Macaca mulatta: one gene and its partners. The protein of the gene in region 1 interacts with the protein of each later gene in a biochemical or structural test. Links are inferred from orthologs where the notes say so. Each region holds a gene or a part of one and is shown on either strand. Other genes may lie near its edges. The genes, in order: MCM6, MCMBP and CDC7.

Region 1 (3,654 bases):
GATTACAGGTGTGCGCCACTACGCCTGGCTAATTTTTGTATTTTTAGTAGAGATGGGGTTTCACCATGTTGGCCAGGCTGGTCTCGAACTCCCGACCTCAGGTGATCCGCCTACTTTGGCCTCCCGAAGTGCTGGGATTATAGACGTGAGCTACCACTCTAGCCTAAAACATCAATTTTATTTATTTATTTTTAAATTGTATTTATTTATTTATTTAGACGGAGTCTTGCTCTGTCCCCTAGGCTGGAGTGCAGTGGCGCAATCTTGGCTTACTTCAAGCTCTGCCTCGCGGGTTCATGTCATTCTCCTGCCTCAGCCTCCCAAGTAGCTGGGGCTACAGGCACCCGCCACCACACCTGGCTAATTTTTTTGTATTTTTAGTAGAGATGGGGTTTCACTGTGTTAGCCAGGATGGTCTTGATCTCCTGACCTCGTGATCCACCCATTTCAGCCTCCCAAAGTGCTGGGATTACAGGTGTGAGCCACCACACCTGGCTAAAACATCAATTTTAAAAGCCTTTAATAGTAATAAATAGCAACAATCAACTATCAGAAGGTCTTGCAATTAAAAATAAAACAAAACTAGATACGGGGCTTATTCCAGAAATGCAAGATTGGTTTAACATCTGAAAATCAATCAATATGCTAAATTAATAAAACAACTACATGACCACCAAAACAGATGTAGAAAAAGTATCTGACAAAATCCAACACCTTTCATTATAAAAACCAAACAAACTAGGAATAGAGAAGATTTTCCTAAGTCTAATAAAGGGCTTTTTCTTTAACCTGACAAAGGGCATCTATGAAAACCACAGATAACATCAAACTCAAAGGTGAAAGGCTGAATGTTTTGCCCCTATGATCAGGAACAAGACACGGATGTCTGCTCTTGCCACTTCTATTCAACGTTATACTGATGGCTCTAATCAAGGGCAATTAGGCAAGAAAAAAAGGCAGCCAGATTGGATACTCCAACTATCATTATACACAGATTTTATACATAAAAAATGCTACAGAATTCACTAAGACTGTCACATACCACATGATACTGTTACCAGAGGCAACACTGTAGTACATCTTTTTTTTTTGGGCGGCGGGGGGAGAGAGAATGACAAGAAAAAAAACATCCTTTGTAACACAGGACTACTATCTTAAAATCTAAAACTCAGTTCGTGATATGTTCAAAAGAAATATTTACTCATAATACTCCAAACCAACTAAAAACGTTCAATATTCTAAAATGGTACTATGTTACAAATTTCCAAAACAAATAAAGAAAAGGCAGTTTGATGTAGCACGAAGTACACACGTTTTGCAGGCAACGGCAACTGTATCTGAATTTTAATATTCATGGCTCAGTGTCACCTTTCACCTACAAGAGAGTGGGCAAATTTCTTGTAGGCTTGGAGAGGTTGTGACTCCCTGAAAAAAAGGGAATAATACACATGCCTGTCTGGGTGCTGCCAGAGTAAGACATAACACATACACAGCACCGAGAACATGGCAGGTGCTCAGAAACTGGTTGCTTTTATTTTGGGCCCTAAGTTTCTTAAAAGTTTGAAAGTAACCAAGTATTTATTACAGCTTCTAAAAATAGTCAAAAATAGTGTTCCTACTGACAAAGTTAACATAAAATATCTCATAGCATTCCCTTTAGAAAGTACATCCAGGCCGGGCGCGGTGGCTAAAGCCTGTAATCCCAGCACTTTGGGAGGCCGAGACGGGCGGATCACGAGGTCAGGAGATCGAGACAATCCTGGCTGACACGGTGAAACCCCGTCTCTACTAAAAAATACAAAAAACTAGCCGGGCGAGGTGGCGGGCGCCTGTAGTCCTAGCTACTCGGAAGGCTGAGGCAGGAGAATGGCATGAACCCGGGAGGCGGAGCTTGCAGTGAGCTGAGATCCGGCCACTGCACTCCAGCCTGGGCGGCAGAGCGAGACTCCGTCTCAAAAAAAAAAAAAAAGAAAGTACATCCTATTTTAAAACCTAACAAATGTTTGTATTCTTAGTCTCAACAATCCTGTATCTAGCAATATACCCAGAGGAAACAAACAAAAAATGTATATAACATTATGATGTTCACTGCATCTATATCAATAATTATTATAATAAACTATCCTGTTAAATTTAACAGGGCTAAGGAAATGATTTTGTAAGTTATAATATACCAACAAAAGAAGACATCTGTGAAAATGAGAAACTCATGAGATTTTTCCATGCAAAAAGATACATGGAAAAAATGTTTAGGGAAAATTAAAATTACAAGTATGTATAATATGATTTACAATAATGAAAATACATAATTCACATATTCAAACACTTTTGTACAAAGATATTATACAAAGACTAAAGAGTTCAATGTGAGATTGGTATTGCAGGCAATTTTTCCCTATTCTAAAAAATTGTAAAATGTTGCCATATCTTTATGAGAATTATATATTTAACATAGTCATAATTTACACTCCTAGTAAGGCCATGGTGACTGTATTCTTGGTAGCACAGCCAGCCTGGGAACTATGTACACTTTTTCCTGCTATACTATATCAGGCAAATGCTTACTTGAGAAATTGGCTCTTAGCTGTACTTGGGTCACCAACAATGCAAACATTTATGTCCCCTCGAAGAGAGGTCCCTTCTCCTGTTGTCTTTGGAACGCCACCAAAGAGCATCAGCAGGACACCCCGTTTTACTTCATCATTGCCTGAAATGAAAAGCTATAGATGAAAAACTAATTTTTCAACATAAAGTTAAACACTTTCAGAGGAAACAGTAAAGGCATGTTTACCAACCAAAAGGTAGAGTCAGCTAAAGCAAAGCATAAAACTGGAGTAATAATACCTGGCTTCTGATCTTGGTTCTTGCTCTGTGGACTTAGTCACCTAAACCACTGTTCTAATGTCTTCTCCTACACCACAGATGTCACTGTGCCAGTGCTCACTATCCTAAAAGCCAGAGCCTTTACTTGTCCATGAGTCCTACCTCCCACACAAAACCTTACCCAATGCCTTAGCCCTCAACGATCTCTCCTGATAAATGAACTATGTCCACCACAGCCTACCACATTTGCTAGTCCTTTTTAATGCCAGTTCTTATAGTTCTGTCAAGAGTTTGAGGAAATGGTTCATAACACTTTTCTATCACCTACAGTGACCAGTACTGAATAAATGTATGTTAACTGAATTTATGTGGATTAAATAAGATGCTGAATGCAATTTACAGCTGCTTAGTTCATAAATCCAGTAAGAAGGAAAAACAATTTTCTTAAAAAAAAAATTGTTTCTTAAAAACGATTTTTTTTTTTTTTTTTTTGAGACGGAGTCTCTGCCGCCTGGGCTGGAGTGCAGTGGCCGGATCTCAGCTCACTGCAAGCTCCGCCTCCCGGGTTCACGCCATTCTCCTGCCTCAGCCTCCCGAGTAGCTGGGACTACAGGCGCCCACCACCTCGCCTGGCTAGTTTTTTGTATTTTTTAGTAGAGATGGGGTTTCACTGTGTTAGCCAGGATTGTCTCGATCTCCTGACCTCGTGATCCGCCCGTCTCGGCCTCCCAAAGTGCTGGGATTACAGGCTTGAGCCACCGCGCCCGGCCAAAAAACAATTTTCTTAATAGCACACTGTGCTATTAAACATTTTTCTGTGGAATTATCTAC
Region 2 (3,654 bases), on another chromosome or scaffold:
ACTTTGTTAGTATGTGCTGTTTCCTTAAAAACTGTAACAACTTGAACTTTGCAAGCTCAGAAGCATCACATATGTCAAACTTGAAAGGCACTTATGGAACATTCTTTTTCTCCAGGAGGGCTTAGAAATGACTAAGTGCAATGCTATCCTTTGAATTTAGGGAGTGTTGGTGGTCTTCAATGGTGTGGAGAGCCAAAACGTTTGGAAACTGAAGCTTCTACTGGGCAACAGCTGAACTCTCTGAACTTCTCTTCTCCTTTTGATTTGAATTTTCCATTGCCAGGAGAGAAGGGCCCTGCGTGCCTTGTGAAGGTAATAAAACCTTTCTTAGGTCTGACATTGACATGTTATGTGTCTCAGAAAGTAGCTTAGTGTCTGAGCATTTGCATTCGTTTTCTTATGCTGGACTAGCTATAGCAAATCACTGCAAATTTAATAGCCTAAAGCAGCAAAAGTTTATCATCTTACAGGCTTTAGGTCAGAAATCCAACATGGTCTCACCGAGGTAAACTCCTTTGTATGTAGGAGTTGGACTACATTCCTTTCTTGGAGCCCCTAAGGGAGAATTTCCTTGGCTTGTGGCTCCTTCTTCCATATTCATAGCCAGCAACATTGCATTTGACCATTTTTTTCATGGTGACATCTCACCTGACCACAACCAGGAAAGGTTCCCCGGTTTTAAGAATCTGTGGATTACATGGGGCCCACACAGTTAATCGAGGATAATCCCCCCCATTTCAAGGTTATTAATCACACCTCTGCACGTTCCTTTTGCATATAAGCTAACATTCACAAGTTAAAAGAATCAAAGAACATCTCAAATGCAGAAGCAGAACAACTTTTAAATTGTCTGTTCCCTTCCTGTATCATTTCTAACATATAATCTTCATTTTTGTCTTCTTCCTTCTCTCAGCAAAACCTATTTCTCACTTGTATTTAAAATAAAACAGAAGGAAGAAAACTTTTAATAGTTTTTTCTTCCATCTTACTTATTCTAGTGTTTTGATGCTGATAAATGAGCAAGTGACAGAAGGTTTTAAAATGATTGTTAAGGATTTCCATCCTTTGTGCATTTTGGGTTTTCTTGTTTTGGGGGCAGGGGGGTTTGTTTTGTTTTATTGAGGCAGTCTTACTCTGTTGTCCAGGCTGGTGTGCAGTGGCATGATCTTGGCTCACTGCAACTTCTACCTCCTGGGTTCAGGCGATTCTCGTGCCTCAGCCTCCTAAGTAGCTGAGATTACAGGCATGTGCCACCACACCCAGCTAGTTTTTTGTATTTTTCCTAGAGATGGGGTTTCACTATGTTGGCTAGGCTGGTCTCGAATTCCTGACCTCAAGTGATCCACCCACCTCAGCCTTCCAAAGTGCTGGGATTCCAGGGGTGACCACTACACTCAGATTCTCAGTGGTTTTAATTGAAATGATACTTCAGTCATATGGCACAGGGACCAAAATGACTACTTTTTTCCCTGCCATGCTTCTGCCGGGTCTGTTCAGTAAATAAATGGCCTTGACGATTACTAAAGTCCATCATGACAATTTTGAATGTGTTTTTTTTTTTAAATTGTGAAAAATCTTCTGGCCATTCTAAGTTTTGTGTTAATCCAATGTTGCAGTTTATGAATAAATGCAAAGTTAATCATCTTGTTTTTGTTTTTCCTTTTCTTGATGTGGTTAATAGATTTTGAGATAGTGCACGTTTCTAGTTTTAACTGTCAGCCTTTGGGAAAAGCCCTTTTTTAATTTTAGAAAAAGACTTTTTTTTTTGTAGTACTGTGGTATATTGAAAAGAGATATTAGTCTGGAAGTTAGGCATCCTGTGTTTTGGTTTTTCACTTATTTGCTAACTAGCAGAGTGACTCTTGGTCTCAATTTATAAAAATTTATAAAATAAAGGACTTGCTTTAAGGTCCATTTCCTGATCTAAAATTCTAAGATGTTAGTACTCCAGGACTAGTATCTTAAGCTTTGTGTCTGTTCTAACAGTATGATTTCATGTGGTCTCTTGTTAGGTTTATGAAGATTGGGATTGTTTCAAAGTAAATGACATTCTTGAGCTGTATGGCATCCTGTCTGTGGATCCTGTGCTGAGTATACTGAATAACGATGAAAGGTGAGTCTGTGTGCTCTTTTTCTGGTCTCCTTTATTTTTATGTAATTTCAAGTTTTTGGGAAAGTTACAGGATGGTTTTGAAGAACTCGCTTCCCGGATGTACCAGTTGTAAACACATGCACCCCATGCGCTCTGTCATTCATTTGTGCTCTCTATGGATGCACACATTTTTCTGAAACACTTCAAAATATATTGCAGAAATCAAACCCTTTTACCCCAACTGCTTGTCAACATTTCCTAAGAGCACTGACTTTCTCATATGTAATCAGAGTACAGGTATCAAAACTAGGAAATTTGCCACAAATACACAATACACTAATCCACAGTCTATACTTAATTTTACTAATTGTCTTAATCATGTTCTTTCTTACACTTCTCCCTTCCGCATCCCCCAGTCCAGGGTTCGGAAGCTCGCTTATTCTCTATTTCTACTGAGTTCATACTGTATTTCTGATTCCAGTTCAGCACCACAGGTGTCGTTCTACTTGTTCTCCTTTCTGTGTTAGTGTAACTCTTAAACTTGATTCCCATTTTTCACAATCTGTCATTTGCACATTTGTACAACATAGAGAAGGGAATTTCAGAATTGTTAACTCATACCTCTATAAAACATAAACCTAAATAACTAGAGTTCAATCTGAAATAGTCCTCAGCCTTTGTCTTTCATGGTCTTGCCACTTTTTTTTTCCCCTTAAACAACAGAAATATATGTCTTCCAGTAGTTCTGGAGACTGGGAAGTCCAAAATCAAGTTCCCAGCAGATGTGGTTTCTAGTGAGGGCCCACTTCTGGTTTGCAGGTGGCTGTCTTCTCACGTGGTAGAGAGCAGAAAGCCTTGACGTTTTTGAAGAGTGTAAGCCAGTTACTTGTTTCCTCATGTACTTGTTACTTGTTAGACTCAATGTTGCGCATTTTTGGCAGGAATATTACAGAAGTGATGTATCCTCAGTATGTTAAAGCAGGAGGCATGCGATGTCAGTCTGTCCCGTTACTGGTGAGGTTAATTTTCATCAGTTGGTTAAGGTGTGTCTTCCAGATGTCTCTTCTCTAAAGTTACATTTCTCACTTTGTAATTGACAAGTAACTTGGAGGAAGATACTTTGGGACGTAAATATCCAGTTTCTCATTAAACTTTCACCAATTTATTTCAGCATTAATTGATGATTCTTGCTTGAATCAGTTATTACAACGTTGGCAATTCTCTAACTCAGTACATTTATTTATTGGCATTCTACTATAAAAGATATCTCTTCCATGTGTTTATTCAAGTAATTTATTTACTTATATTTAGTATGGACTAATAGATTCTGATTTTATTCAATGTTAGTATCATTATATTATTTTGAGACCCAAGTTTTCCCAGATGTAGCTAGTGGGAGCCACTTTAAGCAGGTGCTGGGTCCTTTTTTTGAGATGATCTTACTATTTTTTAACATTTATTTTCTGGCATATTAAGCTGTTGCAGCTTCATCATATACTTTGAAGATCTGAGTCCTAGATGTGCTCGTTGGTACTGGGTTAGCTTTGCATCTAGGCCCTTAA
Region 3 (3,654 bases), on another chromosome or scaffold:
CAATGCATACATATTGCTGAAAACTGACTTAAAATCATCATCACATAATATAAACATAAGTGACTTGTGTTCTTGTGTTAAAGTTTTCTTTTAAAACAAAAACAGCACCAGTTTTGACATTACTATAATAATTCCAACGAGGTAATTATAGTTGTAACTGGGGAAGTGGCAGAGAGAGAAAAAAGGGAAAAAATTAATAAGACTTAGCAGATAAGATGGTAACAGTAATAAATAAATTAGGGTCACTAAACTAATAGATCATACAGCCAGGATTTGAACCCAGGCATTTTGCTCCAGACATATGCTCTTAATCACTATGCTACACTGCTTCATAAAAGAGTAAAATAGGACAAAGGTGATTTCTATGATTTTGAGCCTGAGTAAGAAAACAATAGAGATATCAAAACATAAGTAAAGCCAGTAAAAGCAGCAGCTAAAACCAGACCTCATCATTTTGATAGAGCTATCTAGATAAGGGACTAAACCTTAAGTAAGACAAGTGAGAAGTCAGTGAGAGTACTTGCAGAGAAGTGATACCTAGAGACATGAAAATTAATAGTGAGAAAAGAAAACTAAGCTTGGAAGAAGTCAAGTTAGAGAGCCAAATAGGAAAGGAATTTTGAAGGAGGAGTTATTAGCATGGAAGTCAAAGAGAATAACAACTGAGGGGAGGCTTTTAGTTTGGCAAAGAATAATTAACTGGTAATTTTTAAGACAGCAATTTAAGTGGAAAGGAAGAAACAAAACAGAAGAAAGGAAAATAAAACACAATGGAAGCTGAGCCTAAAGACAATTTGCCTGACTGCACTGTAAGATCAGATGAAGGCATTTTTAGCATGTACCTTTTTAAGCACAGAAAAAGAAAAAGTGGTAGAGGGAGACAGTTAAAGTATAGAAAAAGGAATGATCACATTTACGGTACAAGAACGTATGCAAGCGTTCTTTACAGAGGCCATCTCATTTTCTTGTCTTCTATAGTACACAGAGGGCTGAAACAAACAGGCTTACTTATTCATTCATTCAATATTTAGTGGGCACTGTTATTTGCTGTTAGGGATTACAGACATTAGTAATGCAACAGTGAATAAAATTTACAGAATTTCTGTCCTCATGGAGTTTACTACCTAGTGGACAATACAGATAATAACAAGGTAACTTATAATGACAGATTATGGTAAGGGCTTTGAAAGAAATCAAAAGATGCTATGACAATTAGAAGAAAATAGGAGAATCTAATTTAATTCAGAGAAGACATCTTTTAAGCAGTGTCACTCTTTTTTTTTCCTTAGAGACAGGGTCTTGTTTTGCTGACCATGCTGGATGGAGTGCAGTGGAGCGATCGCAGGTCATTACAGCCTCAAACTCCTGGGCTCAAATGATCCTCCTACCTCAGTCTCCCAAGTAGCTGGGACTACAGATGTGTGCCACCCTGCCTGCCCAATTTTTAAGTTTTTTGTAAAGATGGGGTCTTGCTATGTTGCCCAGGCAGGTCTCAAACTCCTGGCCTCAAGCAATCCTCCCAAAGTGCTGGGATTACAAGTATGAACTCCTGTGTCCAGTTTCACTCTTGCTCAGATCAGAAGATAAAGGGTCAGCAGGCAATGACTGGGAGAGGCCTTCCTGAATGGGCAAACAGTCTGGGCAGTGGCCCTGAGGTAAGAAGGCTCTTGAGACAAATTCGATAAACTAAAGAAATGGAGTACAGTGAAGGAGGTGGGAAGACGGGCATGAGAAGGTTGAATTTTTTTTCAAAGTACAAAGGGAAACCATTGAAAGATTTTAAGTGGGGGAACTAATGACCCAATTTAAGTTATATACATATATATTTTATATTTTAAAGATCATTCTGGCTGCTGTGTGAAGACAGAATGAAGGGGAGAAAGACGCAGCAGGCTACAGTTATAGTCTAGGCTTCAGCTGAGGTAGTGGCAGAGAAGATAGACATGGATGAACTTCTAGATATATTTTAGAGGCAAAATGGCTAGGACTTAGTGATTAATGTGGTTTAGGAGAGAAACAGAAAATGAGGATGATTTCTAGGTTTCTGGCCCGAACAAGTGCGTAGATGGGCCATTTGCAGAGATGGGTAGATAAGAACATTTGTTGTGGTGGGGTTATTTTTGGCATGTTAAGGTTTAGTTTTGGCATATTAGGTTTGAGATATTTATCAGGCACCAAATGGAAATGTTAAATAGGCAAGTGGATATATACAAACCTGTAGTTACGATAAAAGGTCTGAGATTAACTATATACTTGTGGGAATCATTACTTTAGATCATGTGGAAATGGAGGACACTAAGGAGAATACAGAGAAACCCAAGAGCAAGCATGAGGAACTCCAACATTTAGGGGTCAGATAGAAGTGGAAGAGCTGGCAAAGACACAAAATGAAAGGCCAAATGAGGGAAGAAGAAAACAACGAGGGTGTGGCAGTACAGAAGTCAAGATAAGGGTTCAAGTCAATTGTGCTAAATGATGCCTAGAGTAATGGCTGACTCTATAGTTTCCAGTTTAGAGGAGAACAGCCGCAGTGAGTATTTAGTGAAAGGGAGGTGTGAAATGAGAACAATGTATGCAGATAATTGTTGAGAAGTCTGGCTGTTAAGGAGGGAACAAAGAAATGATGGAGCAGGTGGAAGAAGGAGGGCAGTTTAGGAGGATAAGATACTAAATCATGTCCTTATGTTGACAGAAATGACCCAGCAGAGAGAAACCATACCAGATGATTCCATTATTCTAAATAAAATATTAGATGAGGTCGTCAATAGCTGGGGAAATGTGAAATGTGAGTTCCCTACATTTACAAAATAATGTAAACCATGAAAGCCAAGGTTTATGATTTGGCAGGAAGGTTACAAAAAGCAGTGATAAAAGACAGGAAATCAAGCCGAGCCTCAAGGGAAATCCAATCTAAAAGAATTACTATAAATTTAACTAACTATTGCAAGGTTAGAAGGAAAGTGCTAGCAAATTGCAAACACTTGACTGAAAAATGTATTTAATTCACATACAATCTCCTCATCCCTGCTAAGCATCTACTTTAAAATCTTATAAATTATATACAAGTTCAATTAAAATATGTTTAAATTGCCTACCCAGCCACTGTTAGGCACTGAAGTTCAGCTGCAATTCTTACAGGATGACTTGTTGGAATCAAGTGTTTTAGAGCAATTTTCTCTTCAGGTCCTACTTGTAACTGTGCTGTGGCCAAATAAACAGAGCTGAAAGTGCCTGTAAAACAATGTATTAAATTTTTCAATATCAGGGTTTTTAAAAATGTTAATGAAACAATTCTAAAATAGATTGTAAAAACTGTTTCAATGGCATAATAGATTAAAACAGGATTTCATTTTACTGTAAATATTTATTATTTATTCTTTCTTTGAGGTTGAAAAAGAAAAGCTGCTACCATAATTAGTAATAAAACTACGGTCTTAATAGTCTAAAAAGTGGTATATTTTTCAATAAGAAGTAGTAATGAAAAGCAAGATTACAAAAGGAAAACAGGAGGGAAAAAAGACCTTGTAAAAATAGTAAAGCATATCCCCAAATTACCTTCTCCAATTTTGTCCTTAATCTTAAACACATTCCCAAGCTGTGGTACAGCTTCATAAAGCTTCTCAATATCTTTTTTAACACCTTTCAAGGAAACAA

Evidence for each region.
Region 2: the proteins of MCM6 (region 1) and MCMBP form a complex in vitro, tested with the Homo sapiens proteins (2 studies listed by BioGRID). The link is inferred for Macaca mulatta from reciprocal best matches to the Homo sapiens genes MCM6 and MCMBP.
Region 3: of the proteins of MCM6 (region 1) and CDC7, one has a biochemical effect on the other in vitro, tested with the Homo sapiens proteins (2 studies listed by BioGRID). The link is inferred for Macaca mulatta from reciprocal best matches to the Homo sapiens genes MCM6 and CDC7.

The regions. Positions count from the first base shown.
Region 1 is NC_133417.1:27,473,945-27,477,598, forward strand, and holds part of MCM6 (DNA replication licensing factor MCM6), read right to left. Parts: intron 2,708-3,654; coding exon 2,566-2,707; intron 1-2,565. UniProt on the Homo sapiens protein: Acts as a component of the MCM2-7 complex (MCM complex) which is the replicative helicase essential for 'once per cell cycle' DNA replication initiation and elongation in eukaryotic cells.
Region 2 is NC_133414.1:131,947,687-131,951,340, reverse strand, and holds part of MCMBP (mini-chromosome maintenance complex-binding protein), read left to right. Parts: intron 1-160; coding exon 161-312; intron 313-2,012; coding exon 2,013-2,113; intron 2,114-3,654. UniProt on the Homo sapiens protein: Associated component of the MCM complex that acts as a regulator of DNA replication.
Region 3 is NC_133406.1:148,801,671-148,805,324, forward strand, and holds part of CDC7 (cell division cycle 7-related protein kinase), read right to left. Parts: intron 3,640-3,654; coding exon 3,556-3,639; intron 3,232-3,555; coding exon 3,096-3,231; intron 1-3,095. UniProt on the Homo sapiens protein: Kinase involved in initiation of DNA replication. Phosphorylates critical substrates that regulate the G1/S phase transition and initiation of DNA replication, such as MCM proteins and CLASPIN.